Macaca mulatta: one gene and its partners. The protein of the gene in region 2 interacts with the protein of the main gene of each other region in a biochemical or structural test. Links are inferred from orthologs where the notes say so. Each region holds a gene or a part of one and is shown on either strand. Other genes may lie near its edges.

Region 1 (3,951 bases), on a different chromosome or scaffold from region 2:
ATCAGCAAAATGGTGATGAAAGGAGCTTTTGGTTTATAATCAACACTGAAATAAAATTCAAGCTCTGTTTCAAAGTTCCGATTCTGATTGGAGGCTGACTCACTCCACCATGACAGGAAATTTAATTTCAATACTTTCTTAATACTTGACTCCATTAAAACAAAGATTGAAAGCCAAAGTCAACTAGGAAATACAGCAAAAGTTTGTGAACTGAGAAGAATCTTCTGGCTGACACTGGAATAAAGCCCTCCAAGGGGGACTAGCGACCTAAGACCTAGTTACCATTACATCAGTGCCTGCTTCTACTTGGGGGAATAGTTGTAGTTTTCTTCTTCCTTGGTGTTATCCTCTGATGAAAGGTGCTCCAAGTCCATGATTTAAAAGCTCATGCAATTCAAAGCAAAGCATGTCAAGGCCGCACAACACATCTCCTAGCACCACGTACCGTGCGTAGTTATGCAGATGCTCTTCAATCAGCGTGTTAGAGGAAAGATTGATGCAGCTGCTGTACATTTCCTAGAGAGGTGCAATTAAAAATCATCTGAAAACATGCAACAAGCTCAGCACATGCACAAGCCCAGTAAACACGAAGCATGCAGGAAGACAGATTAGAGGACAGTGGCTTAGTATGCACTTTAAGGAGCATGGGCAACTGAGATGATTCTTCTTTTACTACTGAGTAGCAGAACCCAGTAAGTTACCTGGTAAAGTTTTATTTGAGTGACTTAAGTTTTGACACATTTGACTCAAAAGGTCTGGTGTTTTGGGCACAAGTATGCCTTTTCTAGCTGAAACAAACACATGATGTAGTCTTCTATAATAAGGACAATTTACAGACAAAATTGATTTATAATTTAAAATTTGGTGTTCAATTAATTAGAGAAATACTCACTAAAACTTGATTTGGGTACTGCAAAAAGAATATGGACAGTTCTTAAACCTCATTGTAATGGGATTCTAACGTTTATAGCTAATGATAAATCACAAAGATTCTGCAGCTCCACTGGGTGGTTTATCTGGATCACGTGGAGAATGATCTAGGTCATTCCATTCCACAGAGAGTTTTGCATTTTGGCTGCTATACCATTTTTTAATGGCATGGCAAGTGCAAAGCTTGCAGGAAACATTGCCTAAAAAGATGTTCATATCTCTTATCCACTAGATATAAATCACAGATTATAGTGCATGGGTTTCCAATGAAGGCAATTATAAAATGTAGTTCATGGCATACTCTGCCATCCCCTGTGGACTGGCAAGCACTTCAGGTTCCTATAGGCTCCAATCAACACTTAGGAGTCTGTGTTGTAAAATACCTATGTGGAGGTCCCTGTGGTGTATTCATTTCAAAGGTCATCCCAAAGTTGTACAGTTAAGTCTTTAGAAACAGAGCATCTATTTATGTACTTTTTAATTGAGCCTGAGAATAAACTATCACATCACATGAAGAGAACAAACTCTTCCTTGGGACAGAATCAGTGCCAATGCAGGACTAAACTTGCACTGACTGGTGGTTTCATCTTGCAGAAATGTCTCCAAGTCTAGCATCCCTAACACCTAAAGATTATGCCATTTAGGGAAATTTAGGGACCAGAATATAATCTCTTATGACTTCTTTTTTAACATTTCTCTCTTAGAATATTTTCCAAAAGAAGAGCAAGGAGTATGTATGTAACAAGACATGTCTCATTAGACACATTATTTGGCTTTCCATGCATCCCTTTGGATTTTTTTTTCTGGGGATTCCCTCAAGGTAGCATGGGCCCACAATCTGTAGTATTAGGGACAACATAATCCATTTGAAGGAAGAAAAAAAGAATAGTCTCCAAATAGCACTTACTGCCTTATTCTTTCCTTTGTTAGTGGAGCTGGCAGGGTTTCCCTTGGCATCTGTTGTCTTTCTCCCAAGTGAGGTCAAGGGCAATGTAGAGGTTTTCAGCTGGTTGGCTGCCTGGTAGTTATTATTATTGTTTTGGTTGCCACTTAGTGTCTCCATGATAGATCGAAAGGCTCCAAAAGGCCTTTTCAGTTGATCCCCTGATTCGTTACTTGTGGAGGTCCGCTGGAGAGTCCTGCCCTTATCTTTGTCTTTTTCTCCATTCAGTTCAAGGCTAGGCTGCTCCATCTGCACCACAGGCTCCTCAAAGGTGACTCTCAGTTTTAAGTTCTGAGATGTCCTGCGCTTGGAAGATGGAGACTTGAGGGCACTCTTGGGACTTGTGGCAACTTTCTGGGCAGCAGTGCTGTCAGGGTTGGGCTGTGGAGGGTCACCAGAGGGCTGGTTTGGAGGAGTACTCCCTGAGCCTGGATACTGGGATTCCAAGTCTGGTTCACTGCTCTCTGAGGTGGGCGATGGGCTATGGCCATCCAGGGATTTGGAGGTCTTGATGCTGAAAGGAAACCTGCGTCCCCCTGATGCCAAGGTGTGTTTCTTGATCATCAGGTGCAGGCTTTCTGCGCTGTCCATACTCTCTACACTTTCTACAATGGGCTGTGGCCTTGGTCGGTCAGCCTTCCTCACTGGGGTATTCTTGGGGTCCTCAGAGTTGTTGGAGTCTGTGTCAGACTCACTCAGTGACCTCTGCATCAGCTGTCTCAGCCTGGCTAACTTCAGTTCCCTCTTCTCCAGTGGGATCTTTTTAGAATTTCTAGAGGAAGCCTGAGCATCCTGGAATTCCAAGGACAGTTTTTCCTGGGTGCAGACATTTTCTGAGATTTCCTTTCCCAATAACTGGCGTAGGATTTTATCAGAATCTTCGTCTTTTGCTTTGGGTCTAGCCCGGCTGGAGGCTGACAGGCTTCCAAGAACCTGAATCCCCTCTTGGACTCCTGGCTTGCTTTTGGCTACAGAATCATCATCTGCATCTGGGGATTTCCACTGGGACTTTCTGCAGGCAGGTGAGGATGGTGAACTAAAAAGAAGATGAAGGACATATGAGATGATTTCCTACTGGGTTGAAATGATTCAGCCACAAGTCGCTACATGGCCTTTACTGCCACTAATAATGTACAAGTAAATAAGAACAGAATACAAATAAGTACTTAATGTCTCTTCAAAACAATGTGCAAATACTCCATAGTATCAGCTATAAGGTGCCTTATGCCTTTGGCTATAACTACCATGACTACTAAATTTGTCTGTTTTACTGTTTATACATCAATTTTGCATAAATGTTCTCAGCTAATTCCATTTTCAACAAACTTATCAAGCTATATCTATATCTATATCTATATATCTCCTATTTCCACTTCACAGATGAAGAATTAAAAGATTCAATTCTCACAAAAGAGTAAGTGACTTGTTTATAGTCGTGGAATGAAAAATAGCAGAATCAGAGAATAGAGTAGGTCTTCAGACTCTAGGTCCTGTGCCTTTTTCACTGTGATTTCTCATTTTTATTCCCCTTTATAAGAAGAAAATGTTTTCTGTTGTCATCCTCTTAAAATATATCAAAGGAAGTTCAGAAGAAGGCTTAACAATTTAGGATACTTAAGAATGCTAAACAACAATGTGCTGGTATTACCTGGGTGAAGAAGGGAGTGACTTGCCCTCTGATTTCTGGGCTTCTAGAAATTGTTGGAGTTGGTTCTGCAGCGTGACACGTTCTACTGTTTGTCTGGGAAAACAACCAAAACACATGAGGTCTCTGATACTGGCTACTGCTATAAATTAGGGAGTATAATTTTTTTCCTAATAATTTCCAGTAAGTTGCAATAAATACAAAAGCCTTAAAATGTGCATAATCTTCAGTTCAGAAATTTTCCTAAGGAAACAATCAAAAGTACCCCAAAAAGATATTTATTGCCAATATTAATGAAAAACTGTAAGTAACCTAAATGCTTATCAGTAAGTCTGAGTTAACAAATTATAATTGTTTCTACAATGACAGCTATTAAAATGATAATATGTTTGAGTATCTATGGACATAGAAAAAGTTTTCCCACTTATGTCTA
Region 2 (4,611 bases):
TGTAAAGCTATGTAACAAATAGGAAGGTTTAAAAAATAGATACTATCATGCAGACAGCTAAAATATTTGTATGTATTTTTAATCTTTTTTTCCTCTAATGATACTTAGAATATTTTATTTTTGTTACTACAAATAATGCAGATGAAATATGAATTGTATTAGTAGCAGAGACACATGAGCTAAAGCTTGTATTGTTTAAAGCACATCATCTTAAAAGGCCTGTCAGGAAACAGTGTTCATATTAAGTGGGCTTTCAGTACTCTAACAAGATGACATCATTTTCTAAGAGACAAGTGTTGTTAGAGTAACTGCTAGGATATTCCAAAATTTCTCATTATAGATTATTTAATGAGTTTATGTTCCCAGTTGTATATCAGCTCATGTTAAATTTTGCAAGAGTTTATGATTTCTAAGAGCTCATCTTCTGTAAGGCCCTTTGCTGAGTGGGGTTAGTTAGCAATCAGTAATTAAAGGGGATCTTTTTACCTCGTGTAAATAGCGTAAGAGTAATTTTGGGCGGTTTAGAAACGATGAGTTATCAGGAAGGTGCTTATCAATGGGCAGAGTATATCATTTGCCCAGGATTCTAACAACCTAGCCTGCCCCCCACACACTGTGGGGGACCGTCTGCTACTTGCCAAGTAATTGCCATTTTTGGCAAAGACCACCCAGGACATGGGCTCAGAGTCCATCCTAGGGCTGGCCAACCTCTGTAAATCTCGTGTCCCCTGATACGGAGCGAGTGCATTCAATTCAGGAAGATCACTTACGACTGAGTTTTTCATCATGGCTTTGACTGTGAAGCCCTCAGAAACCAGGGAGTGAGGCTGGTGCACCGGGAGCGGCTGTTGTGCCAGCAGCTTGGTCCTCTTCGGCATCTTGTCTGGGCATTTGTTTAAGCTCAGGGTCTCTTTTTCTGCCACCATCTTCCTAGAAAATGTCTTGTTCTCATAAAAAGTGTAGTAAAAGAATCAGTGGGTTTTACGGATGTGAGCAGGAGGTCGGGAAAAAAATGTCAAAAGGCGCGTTAATGGTAGAAATTCAACCCCTCGTAGTGCCCAGGTTGATCCAGATGTTTGGCAGCTCCTAGGTGAAGGGAGTTTAGGGGAGGGGTGGGGCGGGAAGAGGGCAGGACCGTAGCTAGAGCTGCAACAAGCTTCCAAAGGTAAGCCTCCCGGTTGCTAAGCGACTGGTCAACACTGCGGGCGCATAGCTCCGCCCCTCGGTGACGTACGATTGCTGGGCCTGAAGCCGGAAAGGGAGGCGGCGGTGAGCTGGAGGGCAGGAGGCGTGAGGAGAAACTACGCATTAAAACTACGACTCCCAGCAGGCCCTGGGCCGCGTACCCTCCGCGCGTGCGCATTCCTAGGGCCCGGCGCCGGGGCGGGGAGCCCTGGAAGATTTAACCCAGGAGAGCCGCTGGTGGGAGGCGCTGGCTGGCGCCGGTGCGCGCGTAGGCCCTTTCCTGGCCCGCAGCCGCCACCTGCCCAGTGACCATGATAGGTACGTGGGTACCTGCCAGGTACAGCCTCATCTGCGCCGCCCTGCGCCCCGGTGTGGCCTCGGCCGACCTGGACCCCAGGTGCCAACTGTCAGTGACGGGGCCAAAGTGCCCATGTCGTACCCGGCCCGCACCGCCGGGCTCTCCAGCTCAGCGACGCGGGCCCGGGGCCCCAGTGTGTGCGTTCCAAGCCCTCGCCCGCCCGCCCCTGCTCTGAGCGTTCCCGTGAAGACCGCCTCACCGGGGACGCCAGGCGGCCCCGCACCCCCGGTCCTCGCTCATGGTCCCCCGGACCGTGTAGGGTCCCGAAGCCTTCGCCCCGCCGCCGCCCCTCGCCCTCGAGGCCCTGGCCAGTTGTCGTGCGGTTCAGGACCCATCGAGACCCACTCTTTGTGGGGCTCTTTCAGGAAACCCCAGCAAAGCATTAAACTCTAATGGAAGGCACCTGGTGAGGGTGGCTGGGCGCCACAGAAACTCCTCCAGATGAATCTAAACTTCTTGCTCCCTCGGATGTTTCCTTTTAAACTTCTCGTTGGAGGGCTGAGGTGAAAGAAAAATTGAGAGTAAATAATAGCCAAGATTACATCTACTGCCTTTTGCAAAATAACTTTGTTTTTTTTGTTTTTTTTTGGTAAAACACAATGACCGAGGTGCAATTTTGTGAACAAAACTTAGTGGCATCAGAGTTGTTCATGAACACTTGATGTGTAAGATGAGCAAAGGTGCAAAGGTCCTCTTCCAGGGTTGTTGAACCAAAAACTACTTTAGGGGCTGTCCCTAAAAATGAATGGAAATGCACCATATGTTTAGAAGCCAGTGCTATATGGGGTTTCATTATTGTGGAAGTTTCTCCAGGTTATGTATGGAGGGTTTAGTGAGCTTGTTTAGGGCTAATTCCTGAGGAGCGTCCCTTACAAAACACTTTTGATTGCAGTAAGTACGTTCGAAGTCAGATGTGGTCTGTCCAGAAGTAAGGTGAGAGGTGGATTCATAAAATATATGATCTTTATGCACTGAAAACACGTACTACATCTGTTTTTATTTATGAAGTTATTGTTAAAATGTAAACATTCTGCCCATCAGTGGGAGAATCAAGCCAGCTAACTGGCATTGTCTTTGTCTCTGTGGTAAAACAAGAATGTTGTCCAGCCTTTCTTCCCTTTCTAGCATGGTCTGACTTTTGGTGAATGACTTGAAAGTTAACCAAATTATGAAAAAGTTATAATTTTTTGAGTTTTCTTGAGCTCTTTTTAGGTGACATTTACGTAAGATTCACTTGTAAGCACAAGTCTGAACTGAATCAGAAAACCAAGTAGAAGAGATTTTCCAAAATCCGTGCTATCAGTAGTCTACAGGAAGAAAATAGCCTATACCTTATTTTGAAGACAGTTAAATACATTTTATTTTAATTTAACTTAATCTAGTGCACAGATAATTTTAAGAGAAACAAATTTATTGTAAAGCTATATGAAGACAGGCACTTAAGATCTGGGATTAGAGGCGTAAGCCACCATGCCCAGCCTCATTAGCCACATTTCAGTAAACATCTGAATGGCCAGTTTGAGATTTGGGTGTGGTGAACAGTGCTAAAGGTAGGTGAAAGTGAAAACCATTAAAAGGAAGCCTTGGAGTGATGGGTTTTGTGTTTTTGTGACAAAAATTCAGAGCCAGGAAAGACATTATAGATTCTATCCAGTGATCAGTTGGAGATCAAAATGTAAATAGTATGTATCTGGGATTTTCTGTTAAAGGTAAGAGTGCTTCTCAAAGCTTGCTCCTTTCAGGCCTATGCTTTCTCTGTTACACTCACCTTGTTGCGGGATTCAGGAGGACGAGAGAGACCTCAGGTTGAAACAGGAGAATCTTGATCGAGTGCACTCAGGCCCAGCTGACTCACATGCAATAGACTGGGCCCAGAATAAAGACAGTACTTGACTTTTATACACACTTCACAAAAGGAGGTGGGCTAGCTTGAAGCAAACTTACAGTGGTGGCAAAGCAGGGATACAGAGGCAGGACAAAGGCAGGACTGCACATGACCATCGCCAAGCAACCCAGATGTTCGTTATCTAGGTTTCCCTGGGCACAGGCTTATCCTATAACCTTCACTGTGGTGCCCAGGCAGCTGTAGTTCAGGCCTACTCAGGCTTCTCATGACCTTCGTTGTACTTCTTAGATAAAACAGAATACTTGAAATCACTAGTTACAGAGAACAAGAGTCTATAAACTGATTCCATAAAACAAAGGAAAATTTGTTTTTCTTCTCCCTGTGTTGAGGGAGTGCTGGGAGAGTCTCCAGAGCACATTCGATAATATTATCAAGACTCTTCCTGGATCTGGGCTGTGCTGTTGCTGCCTCTGGGACAAGTTAGCCTAAAACAGGAAAACTTATTTCTTTTTCTTTTTAATTTTATTTTTCTTTAATTTCCCGCCCCAACCTTAATGCAAATAATATTCTGCCAGTTGGAGAAACGTAAAGATGGGTTTCCTGGTAGAAGAGGAGTAAACAGGACTGACTGCGACCTAACTGCTAGTGGAATGTACCTTCCTTTTACTTTCTCAAAACCAAAGATTCCCTTCTTGGGATGAGGACTGTTTCATAAGTCCTTACATTTCCCACCTGGACTGCGATTGATATGTTGAATGCCCTGACCTGGGCAGCTATGGAAACGTAATTTAATTGAAGTCGGTTAAAAATTGTGCCTTTGTGGAAGGTGTGGAGAAGGACTTCAAGATAATATAAAGCAGAATAGAAAAGCTTAAAAGAATTCAACGTAGAACAGTGTAATTTTTGGTATCTCTATTAAAAATATATTTTGACTTTTTAAAAAATGATCAGTTCTTTGTATTTAAAATGGAATGTTAGTGGTGATAATTTGTGGTATGTTCTAAATGTTCTGTAGAACTGGATTTAGGTATTTGAGTAACAGCAGATATTAGAGTGCTTGGTTATATATACACCAGTGTTGTCAGTATTGAAATACACATTCAGTGTCTTATACTTTTAAGAAGATTTTTGATTGACAAAAACCATTCATTGGAACATAGTCTCTTCTATACCTTGTTTCACTTAGCATCTCTTTGAGAATTTACATATCTGCATGTACAGA
Region 3 (3,951 bases), on a different chromosome or scaffold from region 2:
GCCGGGCACAGTGGTTCACGCCTGTAATCCCAGCACTTTGGGAGGCCAAGGTGGGTGGATCACGAGGTCAGGAGTTCGAGACCAGCCTGGCCAAGATGGTGAAACCCCATCTTTACTAAAGATACAAAAATTAGCTAGGTGTAGTGGTGGGTGCCTGTAATCCCAGTTGCTTGGGAGGCTGAGGCAGGAAAATTGCTTGAATCCAGGAGATGGAGGTTGCAGTGAACTGAGATCACTGCATTCTAGCCTGGGTGACAGAGCAAGACTCTGTCTCAAAAATAAATAAATAAATACATAATAAAATAAAATAAAAATAAATAAATAAAAAGTCCTAAAGTATTGTTAAAACAATTTCCATTTTGTAATTTCAGGAAGTTTGAAATTAATTAGATTTCTAGGATTTTTTTGGGGGGGGGATACTCAAATTCTCCCCCGTTACATTTTTCATAATGTTAAAAAAAAAAAAGTTTGTGCCTTTTACTTAAAATTTGTTTCTCTATTAATTTTTTTTTTTTTTAGTGTCTTACTCTGTTGCCCAGGCTAGAGTGCAGTGGCGCAGCCTCAGCTCACTGCAGCCTCTGCCTCCTAGGTTCAAGCAATTCTCCTGCCTCAGCCCCCCAAGTAGATGGGACTACAAGTGTGCACCACCACGCCCGGCTAATTTTTGTATTTTTAGTAGAGATGGGGGTTTAGCCATTTTGGCTAGGCTGGTCTTGAACTCCTGAACTCAGGTAATCTGCCCGCCTCGGCCTCCCAAAGTGCTGGGATTACAGACGTGAGTCATCGTGCCTGGCCTGTTTTTCTATTAATTTTTTAAGTTGCTCATGTACATTCTTATTGAACAATAATTGAAACAATATAGACACATATAAAGTCAAAATGTTAAGTGTCCTATTCTCATTCTACCTCTGCCCCATCCCACACTACTCCTGTTAGCAACTAGAGTGTCTTCCTTGGTCTGTGACTACCTGTATACAATATATCAGGTGGGGGTGCTTGTGATGATTGTACTCATACACGCATACATCTACACATAAATACATATATCATTGTCTTTTACAGGAAGGAGATTATACTACCCCTGCTACTCTGTAGCATGGACATCCTTGCATGTCACTATATACAGGTTTTTTGCATTTTTTGCTAGTTAAAATAACATTCTGTCATATGGATACACCTTAATTTATTTAACTGTTCTATTGGCAGATATTTAGGCTATCTCCTGTGCTTCCCACATTTAAAATAGGGAAGTGTTACTGGACTGTCACTTTAATGCACAGTTGAAATTAAATGTTTTTGTTTTCTTTATGTTTTAAACTGTTACAGGGACCGTATGATGTGGTGGTTCTACCAGGAGGTAATCTGGGTGCACAGAATTTATCTGAGGTAAAAATTCTACTCAATTATACCTCAATAAAGCTGGGGGGAAAAAAACTAAAGAATTTCAGCATCTGCTTGTGTTCTGTTGATTTTGTTATTATTCAGATGTTTCAGGGAGGAGGCTGTGAAAAAAAAATAGAAACAACTAAAATTAACAAAATGGTGTTGTAGCATTAACTCAAAAATTTCTTTCTTTCTTTTTTTTTTTCTTTTTGAGACAAGAGTCTTGCTCTATCATCCAGACTGGAGTGCAGTGGCACAATCTTGGCTCACTGCAACCTCCGCCTCCTGGGTTCAAGCAATTATTCTGCCTCAACCTCCGAGTAGCTGGGACAGGCACGCACCACCTTGCCCAGCTAATTTTTGTATTTTCGTTAGAGACGGGGTTTTACCATGTTGGCCAGTCTGGTCTCAAACTCCTGACCTCGTGATCCACTCACCTTGGCCTCCCAAAGTGCTGGAATTATAGGCATGAGCCACCACACCCAGCCTCAAAAAAACGTTTTTAATATTTTCTCTGGAGGTCAGGCGCAGTGGCTTACACCTATAATCCCAGTGCTTTGGGAGGCTGAGGCAGGAGGATTACTGGAGGCCAAGAGTTTGAGACTAGCCTAAGTAACACATCGAGACCCCATCTCTACAAAAATTTTTGTTTTAATTAGCTGGGCACAGTGGTGCACACTTGTAGTCCCAGCTACTCGGGAGGCTATGGTGGGAGGACGGCTTGAACCCAGAAGTTTGAGGCTGCGGTGAGCTGTGAATGCACCACTGCATTCTAGCCTGGGCAGCAAAGCAAGAACCTGTCTTATCCAAAAAAAAAAAAAAATTGCCGTGGAAGTAAGCTGAATTGGTGGAACCGTTATGAACAGATTTCGGTGAATACAGTCCAAAGTAAGATGATTTAGTTTTTTTCCACCAGCAGAAGAATGATCAGATTTTGTGTTTTGGGAAGGGCAAATTGTCTACTCAAAGTCTGAACTGGGGGAGGCTGTGGGGCTAGGGCTGCCAGCAGGAATGACAAATGCCATCAGCAGACACCACTGTTCCTCATTTTAAGTTGTATGCGAGGAGTCAGAGGCCAGGGTGAGGGGCACACCAGCAGGCAGAGTTGGGGCTGCCAGAAGCACTCAAGAAGTGGGTTGAGTCAGACATGAGGGATCATTTCCTGCTAGATTCTCTTCCTCTATCTGCCATCTGAAAACACCCAAAACACCACATTCCCTCCTCCTTTTTGTTTCTCCATGGAGTACAAAATGGCAAGGGTCAAATTGCTTCTTTCTTCTGATCTTTAAATGTGGAGGAATGCGTTTCTCTTATGAGAAATGCCTTGCTTGGGTTTGATAATATAATACAGACACGTTTTGATCATTTTTATACCAATGATTTAGAAATATTGTTGGAAAATAGGTCAGAGAGCTTGTGGTTTAAGCTAAAATGAAATTCTTCCAAAGTTTCCTAGTGAGCGATTGGTTAGTGGCTTAATGATAACTTGACATATTTTTGGTTTTCTTTTCACTAGTCTGCTGCCGTGAAGGAGATACTGAAGGAGCAGGAAAACCGGAAGGGCCTGATAGCCGCCATCTGTGCAGGTGACGTGCAGGGGCAGCCTGTGTTGCAGCGTCATTGGTGGGTGGGGTAGCCTTTCATTCGGTGGTTTGATTTCTTTTTTTTTTTTTTTTTTTTTTTTTTGAGACGGAGTCTCGCTCTGTCACCCAGGCTGGAGTGCAGTGGCCGGATCTCGGCTCACTGCAAGCTCCGCCTCCCGGGTTCACGCCATTCTCCTGCCTCAGCCTCCCGAGTAGCTGGGACTACAGGCGCCTGCCACCTCGCCCGGCTAAGTTTTTGTATTTTTAGTAGAGACGGGGTTTCACTGTGTTAGCCAGGATGGTCTCGATCTCCTGACCTCGTGATCTGCCCGTCTCGGCCTCCCAAAGTGCTGGGATTACAGGCTTGAGCCACCTCACCCGGCCGGTGGTTTGATTTCAAATAGCTCTTCCCCTTCATAAAGCATGCAGGGCGTCTATGTTGGTGTATTTAGTTTGGGTGGCATGAAGGTGGTGTCATTTCAGAAATGAGGACAATTGTTCCGTTTTCTGCCTCTCCATGCCTTTGGTCTACGTGCTGTGAAACTTAGTGTTTTCCGTGTTTGGTTGACCTCGGAGGAAAATAAGGCCCTCTGGAATTCAGTAAACAGCTTGTTACAGCAGGTCTCTGTGCCAGAAAGTCTTTGTGCCAGCACACAGTCAGCAAGAATCCGCCAAACATCAGCACAGCAGCTCTGCCCTGTGCTTGCCCTGCAGATTCAGAAGCGCCGTGGTGCTTTCTGCTGGCTTCCGGGCGTTTCTGATTCTCTCACTGCCGAGTTATCTTGGGCACCGCATTATCTGCCACACAATTTAGAATAAGGACATTTGGTGCTTCACAGATGTCCCTCATCTTTGTATCCTAGTAATATTTTATTTTCTCATAGCCATTTTAAAATCCATTCTTGTTGCTTTCATATCAGATGATGTTCTGCCATCTTGGTTTTTTCCCATGCTGTAATTTTTGCCAGCACCTTCCTTGTTGTGT
Region 4 (3,951 bases), on a different chromosome or scaffold from region 2:
TTTTCTTTTTTGAGATGGAGTCTTGCTCTGTCACCAGGCTGGAGTACAGTGGTGTGATCTTGGCTCACTGCAACCTCCGCCTCCCGGATTCAAGAATTCTCCTGCCTCAGCCTCCTGAGTAGCTGGGACTACAGGTGCGCGCCACCACGCCCAGCTAATTTTTGCATTTTTAGTAGAGACGGGGTTTCACCATGTTGGCCAGGATGGTCTAGATCTCCTGACCTCGTGATCTGCCCGCCTCGGCCTCCCAAAGTGCTGGGACTATAGGCGTCAGCCACAGCGCCCGCCCAGAAACGGGTTTTTATTAGTGAAAAGAAAAAGTGTTTCTCTTTGGTGGAGCTGGAGGTACACAACATACAGTCAGTTATGCGAGGCTTTACGACAGGGTTATGATCTGAGAAAGGCGTCCTTGGGCGATTTTATACATCAGAGTGAACATACACAAGCCTACAGGGTATGGCCTACTTACATACCTGGGCTTTAGGATACAGCGTATAGTTCCCAGGCTACAAACCTGTAGCGCATTTTACTGTACTGTATACTGTAGGCAATTGTAACAAAATGGTGTATATCTAATCCTGAGAGGTCAGGAGTTCGAGACCAGCCTGCTCAACATGGTGAAATGGCATCTCTACTAAAAATACAAAAATTAGCCGGGTGTGGTGGCAGGTGCCTGTAATTCCAGCTTCTTGGGAGGCTGACACGGCAGAATCACTTGAACCCAGGGGACAGAGATTGCAGTGAGCCAAGATCGCGCCACTGCACTCCAGACTGAGAGACAGAGTGAGACTCCATCTCAAAAAAAAAAAAAAAAAAAAAAAAAATTTCAATGAGGCCCTTAGAATTGAGCTCAAATCTGGATTCCCAACCAATGCTCCATACAGACATCAGTTTAGAAGAGTTTTTCTTGTTTTCATGTACGTAATACAAGGGTAACTAGATTCTGTCACTGAAATGTTGCTGTGTCTCCCAAGGTGGTGATGTTGAAAAACTACAAGAATAGATCTGAACTTCACCGGGCTCACATCCCAGGTGTGGTAAGTGGGTAAGGATCTGGCTGCATCAAGCATCTTTTGGTGAAAAAACTGTTAGGAAATTTGCTTTCAAATAACAGTAAGGTTAGGAGGAAGCACTTCCAGATGGTCTTCAATGGCTACTGTTATCTGCCAAAAACCTTAATCATGTGGGGTGGCCAAATTCAGTTATCTCAATTTGTAAAACTCATCAATGCAAACTACTATCAGGAAACACATCAGCAAAATTTCGGATTGGCAATCGTTATCACAAACACAAATGTCCACACGACGGTTCAACTCTACGTATCAGCCTAGCCTGGCAGAGAAATAGCTCCAAATCTTCTTTTCCATCAGCTGTTTTCTGAGGAGGAAAAGAGCTACTAACTCAGAAAACCTAAAAACAACTACCTGACCATCACCAAAAAAACTGTTTGATGCATCCAAATCCTTACCCACTTAGCACCATTGAGATGAAGGTTAAATGAGAAAGTATAGTCCAGACCTCAAGAAACTCAGATCTAGATCTGTCCCTGTCACTCAGTTGTTGGCTTTAAGAAGGTCACTTCCTTTTTTTCCAATACCTGAACTGCTGTAAAAAGCATGGAAACTTGTATCAGTCACCAATGTAAGGAAGTCTTGATGCATCTTTGTGTGTGTGTGTGTGTGAGATGGAGTCTCGCTCTGTCACCCAGGCTGGAGTGCAATGGCGCTATCTCAGCTCACTGCAACCTCCACTTCCTGGGTTCTAGCGATTCTCCTGCCTCAGCCTCCTGAGTAGCTGAATTACAGGCGCGCGCCACCACACCCGGCTAATTTTTTTGTCTTTTTAGTAGGGACAGGGTTTCACCATGTTGGTCGGGCTGGTCTCGAACTCATGACCTCGTGATCTGCCTACCTCAGTCTCCCAAAGTGCTGGGATTACAGGGGTGAGCCACCGCGCCTGGCAGATGCATCTTACAAAACAATACATACTAGTAAATTTAAGTTAGTCTGCAAACACTCAGAGCAGAAAATACGACTGTGGTCTTTGCATCTAGAAATGTACTACACGAAATATTTTTAAAATTCTACTTCTCTTCTACTCTTATTTAATACCACTACATTGTTGTCTATCCTTAAGTCATTGGTTTAACAATTAATAGTCAGTTAACAGGTTATCATATAGTCTAACAATAACTTTCAACAAACTAGGAGAAAGTGACCATTAGTTTAGTATAGGATAAGAACACCTAGATTCTAACCAGTATTCAGTGGGGACTCAAGTAGAGAACCACGAAAATAGACGATCTTGAAAATTCTCCTTAGCCTTCTTAATACACTGATGTGTATAATACATTCTCAATTAAAATGTCCAAAAAATATACAATTATCCTGCCTCCTGAATTCAAGTGATTCTCCTGCCTCAGCCTCCTGGATAGCTGGGATTACAGGTGTGCCACCACGCCCGGCTAATTTTCATATTTTTAGTAGAGACAGGGTTTCACCATGTTGGCCAGGCTGGTATCAAACTCCTGACCTCTCAGGTGATCCACCCACCTCAGCCTCCTAAAGTACTGGGATTGCAGGCGTGAGCCACCACACCCAGCCTGAAACTATTATTTTTAATAGCAATAGGTCTTAGACATTAGAGATTCAAGGAGAACACGAACACTCTTCGATGATCCAATTCAGTACAAAGGATACTGAATACAGCCATTTCTCCTGCTCCTTAAAAAATAATTTCATTTCAGTTTGCCAAAATACTTGTGTTTTTGCTTTGTTTTGTTTTGAGATGGAGTCTCACTCTGTCACCCAGGCTGGAGTGCAATGGTGTGGTCTCAGCTTACTGCAACCTCTGCCTCCTGAGTTCAAGTGATTCTCCTGCCTCAGCCTCCTGAGTAGCTGGGACTACAGGCGCGTGCCACCACACCCATTCCCAAAGTGCTAGGATTACAGGCGTGAGCCACCACGCCCAGCCTGCCAAAATAGTTTTTAACTCAGTGTATTAAAAGAGCTCCATTTTGAAGATGTCAGTCCCATTATACTTACTAAAGTGTATCTGGAGGGCCAATAATAAGGACTTCCCATCGGTAGAGATCATTGTCATCTATTAAACCTGCAGAAAAGCCTTCCACTGGATTTTTGTTGAGTTCTGTGGAAAAAGCAAAGTTTAATCAATACATTTAAGCACAAAATTTTCATCCAATAGATAAATTACAGAACTTGAGCATACATGTTATATATAAGTTTTAAACCATCAAACAGATATACCTTGCCAGGCAAGATGCTACTTGATGGCCAAAATATTTTCATGTCTATACTGTAAGAAAGCCCTGGGTAAAGCAAACTCTCCAGAAGATCAACTTCTACTGGTGTCCAGCCAGGCTCTTGTCATTCTGGGTGGCCCTACAGTGGTCTTTTAAGGAAGCTTATTAAAATGCAGATATCCAGGCCCATCCCCCAGAGATTCTCGTTCGAGGGAACCCCAGAAATCAAATCAAGTTGGCAATTCTTAAGCTGCTATCTTTAGGGTATGCTTTCAGAGTGTCTAATCATACCTTTTCATTGGAATATACTGAGCTTAATAACTTTCATTTGTACTAACATTTGTACTCCTATTTGACATGTCCCTGTAGTCGTGGGGACCTGCTCCTACAGTGCTCCTGTGTGCCCATCCATCTCTGAGCACAAGGAGAGCAGAGGTCCCATAAGTCTTATCTGTGTATGTTGACCCTCTGAGAGCCATAGCCTCTGGGACACAGGATTAACTTAAGAGTAATAGCTAGAGCATACAGGAATGGCTGTAGCATCATGAGGTTCTTCTCTTCTAAAGAGAGTGCCGTGGCATGGAGAAAGAATGACAGGGTGGGAAACAAGAGGTGAGGAACTAGCGAGGTGGGGGCACACAAGCCAAGACAGGGACCTTAAGGAGCAGGTGAGCAGGGGTGCAGGGCCC
Region 5 (3,951 bases), on a different chromosome or scaffold from region 2:
CCTTCTGCACAATTTGATTTTTCTTATTTATTTATTTTTTCTTTTTTTTCTTTTTTTGAGATGGAGTCTCACTCTGTCGCCCAGGCTGGAGTGCAGTGGCGCGTCTCAGCTCACTGCAACCTCCGCCTCCCGGGTTCAAGCAGTTCTCCTGCCTCAGCCTCCCAAGTAGCTGGGACTACAGGCACCTGCCACCATGCCCGGCTAATTTTTGTATTTTTAGTAAAGACGGGGTTTCATCATGTTGGATCTCCTGACCTCATGATCCGCCCACCTCGGCCTCCCAAAGTGCTGGGATGACAGGCGTGAGCCACCACACCTGGCCTCTTTTTTTTTTCTTTCTTTCTTTTTATTTTAAGACGGACTTTCTCGTTACCCAGGCTGGAGTGCAGTGGCGCAATCTCTGCTCACTGCAACCTCCACCTCCTGGGTTCAAGCGGTTCTCCTTCCTCAGCCTCACGGGTAGCTGGGACTATAGGCACGCGCCACCATGCCCAGCTAATTTTTGTATGGCTAATGAAGACGGGGTTTCACCATGTTGGTCAAGTTGGTCTCAAACTCCTGACCTCTGGTGATCCGCCCAGCTTGGCCTCCCAAAGTGCTGGGATTACGGGCGTGAGCCACCGTGCCCGGCTAAAACAAGAAACTTTCACTGCATATTTTAAGCAAAGGGAAACGCATATGTGGATAGACTGTTTTAATTTGACTAAACTTATATTGAATCAATGAATTTTAAAAGCTCAAACTATTGGGGAACAGTAATTACCGCCTTGGAATGAAAATACTTAATGTTTTCCACAAGATTTAGTAAAGGAAGATTTTTTTTAAAACCACCTTAATAATAATAGTATGTATAGATGTTAATAAATGAAATAAATTAGGGATGTATAATGTTGGAAACATAAATATTTATGCTTCTGAAAATAAAACTAATTTTTTCTCCCGATTTTCTCTTGCTTTTTCTTTTTTCTGTTCCCCCCTTTCTCTTCCAGAAGCCCTTCAGCGGCCAGTAGCATCTGACTTTGAGCCTCAGGGTCTGAGTGAAGCCGCTCGTTGGAACTCTAAGGAAAACCTTCTCGCTGGACCCAGTGAAAATGACCCCAACCTTTTCGTTGCACTGTATGATTTTGTGGCCAGTGGAGATAACACTCTAAGCATAACTAAAGGTAAAAGGGTTGTGGGCAGCTAGTGGTGGTTGCAGGAAACAGAGATCTGGGAATTGCGGCTTGACCTGCCACCCTTTGCTCATTGAAGGAGCAGCTTTGAAATCTGGAATGCAGGGATATCCAAAACAACAACTGCATGTTTCTAAGGGAGTCGCCTCTCCTTAGAGGAGTTCTTGTACAATAGCCCTGAGCAAAAACAGAACTTGCCCTATGTTTTATACTGAAAGGGACAGCTGAACAAAATACTGAATGCAATTTTTCCCCTAAGAAAAAGCATTATTTCCCTAAAATGTTGTCTTATATTAGGAACAGAGCACTTGAATAAACATAATTGATTATAAAAACTGAGGCTATATACTTACCTATCTGTTCCGTACAAACAGGAAGCTTCAGATATAAATGTGTATTCTCATACACTTATAAATGCATATCTTTAAGTAGACTTGTTAAAATGAAATTGGCATTTAGGAATTTGGAAATCTTTAGTAGTTACACAAGAATCAATGAAAAAGAATGAAGCTGGTTTCCAGAGCTGATATGTCTGATTTGGTTCCTTTCTTCTAAGGTGAAAAGCTCCGGGTCTTAGGCTATAATCACAATGGGGAATGGTGTGAAGCCCAAACCAAAAATGGCCAAGGCTGGGTCCCAAGCAACTACATCACGCCAGTCAACAGTCTGGAGAAACACTCCTGGTACCATGGGCCTGTGTCCCGCAATGCCGCTGAGTATCTGCTGAGCAGCGGGATCAATGGCAGCTTCTTGGTGCGGGAGAGTGAGAGCAGTCCTGGCCAGAGGTCCATCTCGCTGAGATACGAAGGGAGGGTGTACCATTACAGGATCAACACTGCTTCTGATGGCAAGGTAGGGGACCCTTGGCAGGGGGGCTGATGGGCCCGGGGCAGGGGAACCCAGAGGTCCTGGTGTCGGATTGATAAATTATTGCAGGAAAGCTCAACCAGGAAGATGTTTAAAGAATCTTTCAAGTAAACAGTAGGAGTCATTCTTTTAGCCTTATGAAGACGCTTTATTGAGGATTGGTTCCGTGATATTACAAGTTCCTGGGCCCAGTATGATTCTCTTATTGTCTTGCTAGAGTTTTGTTGTTAGCAAGTTACTTAAAATAGGAGGAATATCTGTTGGGTTTTGGACACACTTTTTACAATAAGATTCTTCCTTAAAAAAAGATATATTTTATAATGATAGTAATCATCCTCAATTAGAAAAATTCAAATAATAGATTAGCTTTCCCAGAGCGAAAGACCACTTTAATATCCCCTCCCCCACAGAAGCCTGGCATGTGGGCTTCTTCCTGCAGATGAACACATTCATGGAGAGGTGTGTGGACGTACGTGCATATACACATGCAGTTTTCAGTGAAAACCAGGATCAGACCCACAGCTTACCAAACCCAAAGCGTATTGTTGTAAGGGAGGTGGCATATGTAATTTTGTGGTCTTCATATAAATAGTCCTTCAGAGTCCATAAAGAGAAGGGAGGAGTTAACATTGACTGAGGTATTGCTGTAATTCCTGCATCTTTGCAGAAAGGGAGGCATAAAGAGATCTTGCCGATATCAGTGTAGTGAGACATTGATGGAATAGGCTTGGATCCCCACAGTCTGCTCTATTGCACCAGGCTGTAGTTGAGGTACAGTGTAGATAGGTGGATTGGTGTGGTCCGGATGGTGTATGTTTGTTTTTCGTTTTTTTTTTTTTTTTTTTTTTTTTTTTTTTTTTTTTTTTTGAGATAGAGTCTTACTCTGTCACCCAGGCTGGAGTACAGTGGTGCGAACTTGGCTCACTGCAACCTCTGCTTCCCGTGCTCAAGTGATCCTCCCACCTTGGCCTCCTCAGTAGTTGGGACCACAGGCACACACCACCACACCCAGCTGTTGTTTGTTTGTTTATTTTGAGATGACATTTTCGCTCTCATTGCCCAGGCTGGAGTGCAATGGTGCGATCTCGGCTCACTGCAACCTCTGCCTCCCGGGTTCAGGCACTTCTCCTGCCTCAGCCTCCTAAGTAGCTGGGATTACAGGCATACGCCACCATGCCTAGATAATTTTGTATTTTTAGTAGAGACAAGGTTTCACCATGTTGGTCAGGCTGGTCTCGAACTCCTGACCTCAGGTGATCCACCTGCCTCAGCATCCCAGAGTACTGAGATTACAGGCATGAGCCACCGTGCCCAGCTGTTTTTGTATGTTCAGTAGAGACAGGGTCTCGCCATGTTGCCCAGGTTAGTCTCAAACTCTTGAGCTCAAGCAGTCTGCCCTCCTTGGCCTCCCAAAATGCTGGGATTACAGGCATGAGCCACTGCGCCCAGTCTGTATTTTTTTTAATAGTATGTAATGCATGCATGTGGTTACAAAAATTCAAAAGAACAAGATGAATTACAGTAAAAAGTAGTCGTCTGCCGGGCGTGGTGGCTCAAGCCTGTAATCCCAGCACTTTGGGAGGCCGAGATGGGCGGATCACGAGGTCAGGAGATCGAGACCATCCTGGCTAACACGGTGAAACCTCATGTCTACTAAAAAAAATACAAAAAAACTAGCCAGGCGAAGTGGCGGGCCCCTGTAGTCCCAGCTACTTGGGAGGCTGAGGCAGGAGAATGGCGTAAACCCAGGAGGCGGAGCTTGCAGTGAGCTGAGATCCGGCTACTGCACTCCAGCCTGGGTGACAGAGCGAGACTCCGTCTCAAAAAAAAAAAAAAAAAAAAGTCGTCGTCTCTTAATTCACTTTTCCTGCGCAGAGGCAAGCACTGTTACTAGTTCCTTCCAGAGTTACCT
Region 6 (3,951 bases), on a different chromosome or scaffold from region 2:
GGCGGATCACGAGGGCAGAAGATCGAGACCATCCTGGCTAACACGGTGAAACCCCATCTCTACTAAAAAACACAAAAAACTAGCCAGGCGAGGTGGCGGGCACCTGTAGTCCCAGCTACTCGGGAGGCTGAGGCAGGAGAATGGCGTAAACTCGGGAGGCGGAGCTTGCAGTGAGCTGAGATCCGGCCACTGCACTCCAGCCTGGGCGACACAGCGGGATTCCATCTCAAAATAAATACATAAATAAATAAATAATAATAAAAATAAACTTCAGCACTAAGAAATGAGTTTATTATGAAGTGCTCTACACATTTGGCTGGAAAAAAGTACATCCAAGCCTTCATCAAACTGGAAACTCCCTGAGGGTGTGGACTGCCTCTCCCAAAGGCTTGGCGTTCTCCAACACAGTAGCTCTCTGAACTTTCTCTTGGGTAACCCTCAGCAGCTTGTTCTTTAAAAGCAGGAACCACATCTTTCCTTCTTCTCTATCTCCCTCTGGTGCCCAACACTGTCTCTGCCCCAAAGTTCCTCAAAGGTGTCAACTACCCAAGTGCCCCAAAGGAATAATACCAAGCAAGCCCTCTTGACACATACCGTAGGGGTTCAGGACAGGGACACTTTCCTTCCATCATGTCACAGACTGCAACTCTGATGGTCTCGTGCCGGATACATTCATTATAGTTTTTGCTGTCTCCTGGATGTCTCTCCTGTAATGTAACAGATGCCAGAGTATCCCAAAATTTAAGCAAAAAGAAAGGCAATGGGAAGAGACTTCAAGATTAGTATGGGGTATGTAAGCCAGTCATACAAACTAAAAAATACCTTTCCCACTGTATGGCAGATCCATGAAGAGCAACCACACCTTTATTTTTGACACCATTCACCCCACCACCCTCCAAATATACCATCAGGTTGCAGGTCATTTGGCCTATAACCAGCAAACTAGATCCACATCATTTTCCTGAATGTCAAGTGAAAGGCCTATCAAGTAAAGATTACGAGGGAAATAACCAAACATAAGAATGATGGTAGGGTTGCTAAGCCTTGTGGCATGCACCAGTAGTCCCAGCTACTCAGGAAGCTGAGGTGTGAGGATCACTTGAGCCCAGGAGTTTGGGTTCAGCCTAGACAACAAAGTAAGATCCTGTTTTTTCAGTTTTTCTTTTTGGAGACAGGGTCTTTGCTGTTGCCCAGGCTGGAATGCAGTGGCACAATCATAGCTAACTGCAGCCTTGACCTCCTGGGATCTAGGGATCCTCGAACTCCTGGGCTCTAGCAATCCTCCCACTTTGGCCTCCTGAGTAGCTGGGACTAAAGACATTAGTCACCACAGCGGGTCCCAAGTTTGTATTTTTTATTATTTATTTGTTTTTTGAGTTTTGCTTGTCGCCCAGGTTGGAGTGCAATGGCACGATCTCAGCTCACTGCAACCTCTGCCTCCTGGGTTCCAGCAATTTTCCTGTCTCAGCCTTCCAAGTAGGTGGGATTGTAGGTGCCCGCTACCATGCCTGGCTAATTTTTTATTTTTTAGTAGAGACGGGGTTTCACCATGTTGGCCAGGCTGGTCCTGAACGCCTGACCTCAGGTAATCCACCCGCCTCCCAAAGTGCTGGGGTTACAGGTATGAGCCACCGCACCCAGCTTATTTGTCTTTTATTTTACAAATTTTTAAGAGGCGGGCTCTTGCTTTGTCGTCCAGGCTGGAAAGTGGTAGGCATGATCAGAGGTTACTGCTGCCTTGAATTCCTGGGCTCAAGCGATGTTCCTCTCCTCAGCTTCCCAAGTAGCTGGGACTCAAGGTGCATGTCATAATGCCCAGCTATTTTTTTTTTAAATTTTTTCAGTAGAGACAAGGTCTCACTAGGTTGCCCAGGCTGGGAAACACTTGTCTTTTTAGGGGGAGAAAAAAAAAAGAAAGAAAGAATGATGGTGGGACAAAAAGGTATAAATGAAGTGAAGAGTCAGCGTGGAAAACCTTTAGGCACCAACAAGTAAAGGATGCTTCCTGATTAACCCCTTTACCTGTTATATGTCTCTAGGGTCCCACCATCATTGAACCAATTATTATAAATCAGAAGTAGGGCTGGGCCCGACGGCTCATGCCTGTACTTCCGACACTTTGGGAAGCCGATGCAGGCGGATTGCTTGAGTTCAGAAGTTCAGGATCAGCATCGGCAACATGGTGAGATCCCGTCTCTATAAAAAATACAAAAATTAGCTGGGCATTGGTGATGTGCACCTGTCGTCCCAGCTACTCAGGAGGCTGAGGCGAGAGGATGGCTAGAGCCCAGGAGTTCGAGGCTTCAGTGAGCTATGACTGTGCCACTGTACTCCAGCCTGGGTGACAGAGCAAGACTTTGTCTCAAAGAAATAGTAAAATTAGAAATAAATCTAGCAGAAGCAGAACTTAAAACTTTCAAAAGATAAACTTCAACTTTGGTCTAGAAAGCCAATATAAACAGGATCTCACTATGGTGTGAATGGAAGGGGAGTACAGCCTCCTCTTTACTTTTTCCTGTGCTCTTCTCTTACCACCAACCCCAGTCAATTAGAGCCGTGGCCTCTGATAAAAGCAGCTGATGGGCCAGGCGCGGTAGCTCACACCTGTAATCCCAGCACTTTGGGAAGCTGAGGCAGGTGGATCACGAGGTCAGGAATTGGAGACCAGCCTGGCCAAAATAGTGAAACCCCGTCTCTACTAAAAATATAAAAATTAGCTGGGCGTGGTGGTGCGTGCCTGTAAATAAATAAATAAAATAAAAAATAAAATAAAAACAACTGCAAGTCATTGTAGAAGTAAAAAATAAAAAACACAAGGCTGGGCATGGTGGCTCACACCTGTAATCCCAGCACTTTGGGAGACTGACGTGGGCAGACTGCTTGAGGCCAGGAGTTCAAGACAAGCCGGGCCAACATGGCGAAACCCCATCTCTACTACAAATACAAAAATCAGCCAGGCGTTGTGGTGTGTGCCTGTAATCCCAGCTACTTTAGGAAGGCTGAGGCACTACAATCGCTTGAACCTGGGAGGCAGAGGTTGCACTGAGCTGAGATCACACCACTGCACTCCAGCCTGGGTGACAGAATGAGAGTCTGCCTCCAAAAAAAAAAAAAAAGATAAGACCTACAAATCAGCTCCTGCTAATGAGGTCTATTTCAATTAGAATCTCCTCCTGAAATGACTGTTTGGAGAAAGGATGGATTAGGGAATAATTTTAGTTAACTTTTGAAGCCAGACTCGGTGGTTCACGCCTGTGATCCCACCACTTTGTGACGCTGAGGCAGGCTGATCACCTAAGGTCAGGAGTTCGAGACCAGCCCGGCCAACACGGTGAAACGCCATTTCTACTAAAAATACAAAAATTAGCCAGGCGTGGTGGTGTGTGCCTGTAGTCCTAGCTCCTCGGGAGGCTGTGGCAGAACTGCTTGATCCTGGGAGGTGGAGCCAAGATCAAGCCACTGCACTCCAGCCTGAACGACGGAGTGACTCCGTCTCAAAAAAAATTTTTTTTTTCATTTTTGAAAGGTATTTTGTTATCCTTTGTTCAGGTCTATAGAGAAATAATCAAAGTTGGTGTCATCTGTAGTAGTTTAAAAATAAATTAAGCTGGCCAGGCATGGTTGCTCACACCTGTAATCCCAGCACTTTCGGAGGCCAAGGCAAGTGGATCACCTGAGGTCAGGAATTCGAGACCAGCCTGGCCAACATGGTGAAAACCCTTCTCTACTACAAATACAAAAAATTAGTCAGGCATGGTGGTGCGTGCCTGTAATCTCAGCTACTCGGGTGGCTGAGGCAGAAGAATCACTTGAACCTGGGAGGCAGAGGTTGCTATGAGCCGAGAATGCACCATTACACTCCAGCCTGGGTAACAAGAATAAAACTCTGTCTCAAAAAATAAATACATCAATCAATTAAGCTGTTCTAATCACCTATCTGGAATCATTTTC
Region 7 (4,578 bases), on a different chromosome or scaffold from region 2:
GATGAAAGGCTCTCCTGTTCCCAGCTGTGGGCCTGCCCCTCCTCCCCAGGTGCCAGTGGCTTCCAGGCCCCACAACAGGACCAGGGCCTGGACCGGCAGTGGAGGAGGTCCCTCAGCCAGGAGGGCCTAAGGGAGGGCTGGTGGCGGGTGGGGTGGGGCTGGGGCCTCCAGCTTCTAATGTTCTAACGTGCAGGGACTGGGCCTGTCCGGTCCTACCCTGGAACTTTTCTAGGCCCCATGTCCTGCTCTGCTGGGCTTGCCTGTTGGGATTCTACTGGGGTCAGGAAGGTGGGTGGCCCACAGAGCGGAGCTCAGGAGACCCCCGCAGTCCCTGGAGTAGCCACATGGGAGGGAGGCCCAGCTGGCAGGAGCTCCGAGTCCCTCCAATCCTGTGGGTCAGAGCCGATGAAGAAGCTCACAGGGCAAGGGAGTGTCCACGGAAGCACATGGGAGATGGGTCTCATCCCACCCCCTACCCCTGTCTCTGAGGGCAGGGCCACCTGGGGGCTGCAGGGCAGCGCATGGGTGGCTGGTGTTTATTCAGCAGGCTGGCAGGGGCTTCCAAGTTTTGCAGGGACCTCCAGTACTCTGGCAGCCTGCACCCTTCCCTTCCCTTCCCTTCTGTCCACCCTAAGCCTCCTAGGGGGCGGGCCGGGCTGGACTTCACAAAAGGGCTCTGCCCTCCTCCCGTCCCCCGAATGTCTTGGGGCGCCGCACCGGGAAAGAGTCCACCAAACACACATGCACACACCCACCCACACGCGCGCACACGCACATACCCAATGCACGCACTCACACACGCGTACACACACACGTGCACACGCATGTATACACGCACATGTACGGGCACACACGCAGGCATTGCACACACGCAGGCATTACACACACACCCGCACGGACGCGCACACACAAACACGCGCACACACGCACAGGGGAGGTCAGCCCCCAGCAGGGCTGGGGAGGGGTGCAGGGCGCGGCGTGTCTGTGGGCGCCGTGACGCAGCTGGGAGGTTTTTGGGCAAGTCTGCTAGAAGACTGCCGGCCCTGAATGGGGCGGGTTCCCGCGCGGTTGCGCGTGGGTCCCGGGAGCGGCCTCCGGCGCCCTCTGGCGGGCGGAAGCCGCGCAGCACCTCTTGGGGTCGGAACGCGCGGCCGCTACCGACTCCCGGCCCGCCCCAGCCCGCGTGCAGGACCCGGTCGTCCCCTTATGCTGTCCTGGAGCCCGGACTGAGGCCCCAGGGGCGCGGCGGGCCTCCCGGTCCCCGCAAGCCACGGCCAGTCAGCGCCTCGGCTCAGCCCTGCCCTCCGCAGCCGCTTTCGGGTGGCTCCGCCCGCGGCCCAATTTCCAGGCGACCGTTTCCCGGCGACGGCGGGCGGGGCCGTCTCTGCCGCCCCCCGCCGCGCGCTCCGCGGGCGCCTGCGACGCCCCGCCTCTGGCTCGGGTGCGGGAGCGGGGCCTGCCCGGGCTGCGACGCCGCCACAGCTCGGGGCCAGTCCGCCCAGTCAGGGGGATGGCTCGGGCGGCCTCGGGGGTCGACGATCCCCCGGGTGGGCGACGTGCCCTGTCCAGGCCTCACTTCCCGCGTCCGCAAAACGGGGCGGAGAACGCAGCCTAAGGCAGAGCCGTGCCAAGGTCCCTCGCCGTCTCCGGGCTCTGGCGGCCTGACCGGGCCTGGGGTCCGAGCGCGCCCGCGGGCCCGCAGGGGTCGCCGCGATGGACTCGCTGGCAGCGCCCCAGGACCGCCTGGTGGAGCAGCTGCTGTCGCCGCGGACCCAGGCCCAGAGGCGGCTCAAGGTGCGTGTGTGGAGAGGGCGGAACGTGGGTCTGTGACCCCGCGGGCCCCGAGACTCGGCAGGGGGTCCCCGTCCCCGCGCGCTGCCCGTCAGCGCCTAGGTTCAGCCCTGCCCTCCGCAGCGGCCTCGGGGGGTCCGCGGCCCAACGGTGGCCGATGTGCCCTGTGCAGGCCTCACTTCCCGCGTCCCCAAAACGGGGCGGAGAATGCGGCCGTGGGACCCCTCCAGGGGCCCCAAGGGTCTGCGGGGGCTGGGCGCCGGGGCGCGCGGGCGGGGTAGGCTCGGCGCCGCCGTCTATAAATAGGCGCTGCTCCGCCGCCGCCGCTGCCGCCGCCCCCGCGGCTGGATCCAGGCCAGGTGGGGCCTCCCGCCCCCTGGCACTCTCCGGAGGGGTGAGTGTCGAGGCCCCGAGCTTCTCTGGCTTATGGAGGGCCTTAAGTGTGTCCCAGGGGTCCCAATCCTGTTGCCCTGTGCCCGAGGAGGGAGGACACCGCCTGTGCCTGCTGCAGCCTGACATCTCCCCAAGGGACAAACACAGCCTCGGTCCCTGCAGAGCCCTCCCTAAGGTTGGGGCCAGGGGTGTCCTCTTCTGCCACCCCCTGGCCTGCCTTCTTATCTCCAGGCTTTTGCCCACGGGCCCTCCCCTCATTTTTGCCAGTGAAATGCCCCACCCTGGGAACCATACCCTCTGCTGTCTCCTCATCCTTCATTTGGTAAGAGACAGGGTATTGGGCTTCCGGAGAAACCTTTTTGTCCCTAACTTGTCCCACCCTGCCCCCAGGACATTGACAAGCAGTACGTGGGCTTCGCTACACTGCCCAACCAGGTGCACCGAAAGTCAGTGAAGAAAGGCTTTGACTTCACGCTCATGGTGGCTGGTGAGTGGGCTGGGCTCCTCGGGAGTGGCTGGGGTCCCTGGCCAGCCAAGCTCTGTCGTTGGAGCCCCAGACCTAACCCAACTCCTTCTCTGTACCCGTGTGCAGGTGAGTCAGGACTGGGGAAGTCCACACTGGTCCACAGCCTCTTCCTGACAGACTTATACAAGGACCGGAAGCTGCTCAGTGCCGAGGGTGAGTGGCCCCCAGGAGGCCCTGGCACTGATCCCCAGCCCCCTTCCATGGGACCTCTCCAAGCACTCCCTTCCAGGTCCAGCTCCCAGTGTTCTGTTCTTGCGGGTGGGTCCCCCCGGGGGTAGGGCCAAGGCATCAAGATGGATGAGGACAAGGGTCCTGGCTGCCAAGGGTGAGGGGCTGAGGGTTGGAGAGGCCCCTCCAGTGGCCCCTTCCCTGTAGAGCGCATCAGCCAGACGGTAGAGATTCTAAAGCACACGGTGGACATTGAGGAGAAGGGAGTCAAGCTGAAGCTCACCATCGTGGACACACCGGGATTCGGGGATGCCGTCAACAACACCGAGTGGTGAGCGAGGCCTACTGAGAAAGGCCCTGCCTAGGCGGCCACAGCACTCCAGGCCTGGCCTCACCTCCCTCCTGCCCACAGCTGGAAGCCCATCACTGACTATGTGGACCAGCAGTTTGAGCAGTACTTCCGCGACGAGAGCGGCCTCAACCGAAAGAACATCCAAGACAACCGAGTGCACTGCTGCCTGTACTTCATCTCCCCCTTCGGGCATGGGTGCGTGGCTGTCCTGGGGCCAGACTCGGGAGTGCACCCCCTTACAATATGGCCCCTGGCTGTGCCTATGCCCACGCTTGGCTGCTCTCGGCAGGCTGCGGCCAGTGGATGTGGGTTTCATGAAGGCATTGCATGAGAAGGTTAACATCGTGCCTCTCATCGCCAAAGCTGACTGTCTTGTCCCCAGTGAGATCCGGAAACTGAAGGAGCGGGTGAGCTTGCCGCCGCACAGGGGCCTGGCCAGGGCCCTGGGGCTGAGAGTACAAGGGGGACTTGACCGGCCTCAAATCTGACAGCCCTTGCCCCACCACAGATCCGGGAGGAGATTGACAAGTTTGGGATCCATGTATACCAGTTCCCTGAGTGTGACTCGGATGAGGATGAGGACTTCAAGCAGCAGGACCGGGAACTGAAGGTGAACATGCAGACTGCTGGGGCAGGGCGATGGAGGTGGCAAAGGCAGAACCAGAGGGCCTTGGCCTTGTCTCCTTCACACTGGGCCTGCTGGAGGAGGGCAAGGTCAGCCCAGTTGGGGGCAAGAGTCATTTGTTCTAGGAGTAAAGGACCTGTACCCCCTTCATCCAGAACTAGAAGGTAAAGGTCACCATGTCTTTGCTTGGCTGGGGTGGGTCATGCGGGCCCCACATGGTGCTTGGCAGGTATGGAGCACTTGGCCAGATCCAGAAGTGCAACAGTGGGCCAGGCCCTTAACCCCAACCCTCTTTCCATGGGTTACCAGAGGAAGGGGCTAGCCCAGTGGCACACCCTGGCTCCCAGATTTCTGACCTCCAGGGTTGGTGGCTTCAGGTACCCCAGCAACTTGAGTGGTGATAATGGAGACCATGCCAGGGGAAGGTGGCCACCAGGGCAGGGGCATCAGCACGGGGAGACATAGGCTTAGCCCTGGGGAGGGAAGGGGCAGCTGGAGGGTGTGGTTCTTGATGAGGGAGGAGATGAGGGTGGAGCATGCCTGGAAAGGCCCTGCAATGTGAAGCCCTGGAAGGCCATGGGCTCTGTCTCCAGCCAGTGGCAGAAAGGCCAGAAAGGGGCAACGCCAGGATCTCTTTGAGGAGAGGTCGTTGATGGTGATGCTGGAGGGGTGCCCTGGGAATTACATGCCCGTTTCCCATCAGTAACCCTGCAATTACGCTGA

The links.
Region 1: of the proteins of PRKN (region 2) and SNCAIP, one has a biochemical effect on the other in vitro, tested with the Homo sapiens proteins (3 studies listed by BioGRID). The link is inferred for Macaca mulatta from reciprocal best matches to the Homo sapiens genes PRKN and SNCAIP.
Region 3: the proteins of PRKN (region 2) and PARK7 form a complex in vitro, tested with the Homo sapiens proteins (2 studies listed by BioGRID, with this or other methods). The link is inferred for Macaca mulatta from reciprocal best matches to the Homo sapiens genes PRKN and PARK7.
Region 4: the proteins of PRKN (region 2) and UBE2G1 form a complex in vitro, tested with the Homo sapiens proteins (5 studies listed by BioGRID). The link is inferred for Macaca mulatta from reciprocal best matches to the Homo sapiens genes PRKN and UBE2G1.
Region 5: the proteins of PRKN (region 2) and ABL1 form a complex in vitro, tested with the Homo sapiens proteins (2 studies listed by BioGRID, with this or other methods). The link is inferred for Macaca mulatta from reciprocal best matches to the Homo sapiens genes PRKN and ABL1.
Region 6: the proteins of PRKN (region 2) and UBE2Z form a complex in vitro, tested with the Homo sapiens proteins (2 studies listed by BioGRID). The link is inferred for Macaca mulatta from reciprocal best matches to the Homo sapiens genes PRKN and UBE2Z.
Region 7: of the proteins of PRKN (region 2) and SEPTIN5, one has a biochemical effect on the other in vitro, tested with the Homo sapiens proteins (2 studies listed by BioGRID). The link is inferred for Macaca mulatta from reciprocal best matches to the Homo sapiens genes PRKN and SEPTIN5.

Annotation. Positions count from the first base shown.
Region 1 is NC_133411.1:131,435,106-131,439,056, reverse strand, and holds part of SNCAIP (synphilin-1), read right to left. Parts: intron 3,615-3,951; coding exon 3,522-3,614; intron 2,910-3,521; coding exon 1,838-2,909; intron 517-1,837; coding exon 446-516; intron 1-445. UniProt on the Homo sapiens protein: Isoform 2 inhibits the ubiquitin ligase activity of SIAH1 and inhibits proteasomal degradation of target proteins. Isoform 2 inhibits autoubiquitination and proteasomal degradation of SIAH1, and thereby increases cellular levels of SIAH.
Region 2 is NC_133409.1:9,424,900-9,429,510, forward strand, and holds the start of PRKN (E3 ubiquitin-protein ligase parkin), read left to right. Parts: upstream 1-1,397; 5' UTR 1,398-1,496; coding exon 1,497-1,503; intron 1,504-4,611. Other genes in the region: PACRG (parkin coregulated gene protein), read right to left, coding at 771-926. UniProt on the Homo sapiens protein: Functions within a multiprotein E3 ubiquitin ligase complex, catalyzing the covalent attachment of ubiquitin moieties onto substrate proteins. Substrates include SYT11 and VDAC1.
Region 3 is NC_133406.1:232,823,732-232,827,682, reverse strand, and holds part of PARK7 (Parkinson disease protein 7), read left to right. Parts: intron 1-1,326; coding exon 1,327-1,386; intron 1,387-2,899; coding exon 2,900-2,969; intron 2,970-3,951. UniProt on the Homo sapiens protein: Multifunctional protein with controversial molecular function which plays an important role in cell protection against oxidative stress and cell death acting as oxidative stress sensor and redox-sensitive chaperone and protease.
Region 4 is NC_133421.1:5,803,471-5,807,421, forward strand, and holds part of UBE2G1 (ubiquitin-conjugating enzyme E2 G1), read right to left. Parts: intron 3,148-3,951; coding exon 3,045-3,147; intron 1-3,044. UniProt on the Homo sapiens protein: Accepts ubiquitin from the E1 complex and catalyzes its covalent attachment to other proteins. In vitro catalyzes 'Lys-48'-, as well as 'Lys-63'-linked polyubiquitination. May be involved in degradation of muscle-specific proteins.
Region 5 is NC_133420.1:16,719,020-16,722,970, reverse strand, and holds part of ABL1 (tyrosine-protein kinase ABL1), read left to right. Parts: intron 1-989; coding exon 990-1,163; intron 1,164-1,728; coding exon 1,729-2,024; intron 2,025-3,951. UniProt on the Homo sapiens protein: Non-receptor tyrosine-protein kinase that plays a role in many key processes linked to cell growth and survival such as cytoskeleton remodeling in response to extracellular stimuli, cell motility and adhesion, receptor endocytosis, autophagy, DNA damage response and apoptosis.
Region 6 is NC_133421.1:61,086,104-61,090,054, forward strand, and holds part of UBE2Z (ubiquitin-conjugating enzyme E2 Z), read right to left. Parts: intron 708-3,951; coding exon 595-707; exon of another isoform or gene 547-594; intron 1-546. UniProt on the Homo sapiens protein: Catalyzes the covalent attachment of ubiquitin to other proteins. Specific substrate for UBA6, not charged with ubiquitin by UBE1. May be involved in apoptosis regulation.
Region 7 is NC_133415.1:32,983,156-32,987,733, reverse strand, and holds the start of SEPTIN5 (septin-5), read left to right. Parts: upstream 1-1,418; 5' UTR 1,419-1,713; coding exon of another isoform or gene 1,714-1,794; 5' UTR 1,795-1,948; coding exon 1,949-2,185; intron 2,186-2,574; coding exon 2,575-2,671; intron 2,672-2,776; coding exon 2,777-2,863; intron 2,864-3,085; coding exon 3,086-3,209; intron 3,210-3,290; coding exon 3,291-3,425; intron 3,426-3,519; coding exon 3,520-3,637; intron 3,638-3,738; coding exon 3,739-3,840; coding exon of another isoform or gene 3,841-3,875; intron 3,876-4,578. UniProt on the Homo sapiens protein: Filament-forming cytoskeletal GTPase. May play a role in cytokinesis. May play a role in platelet secretion.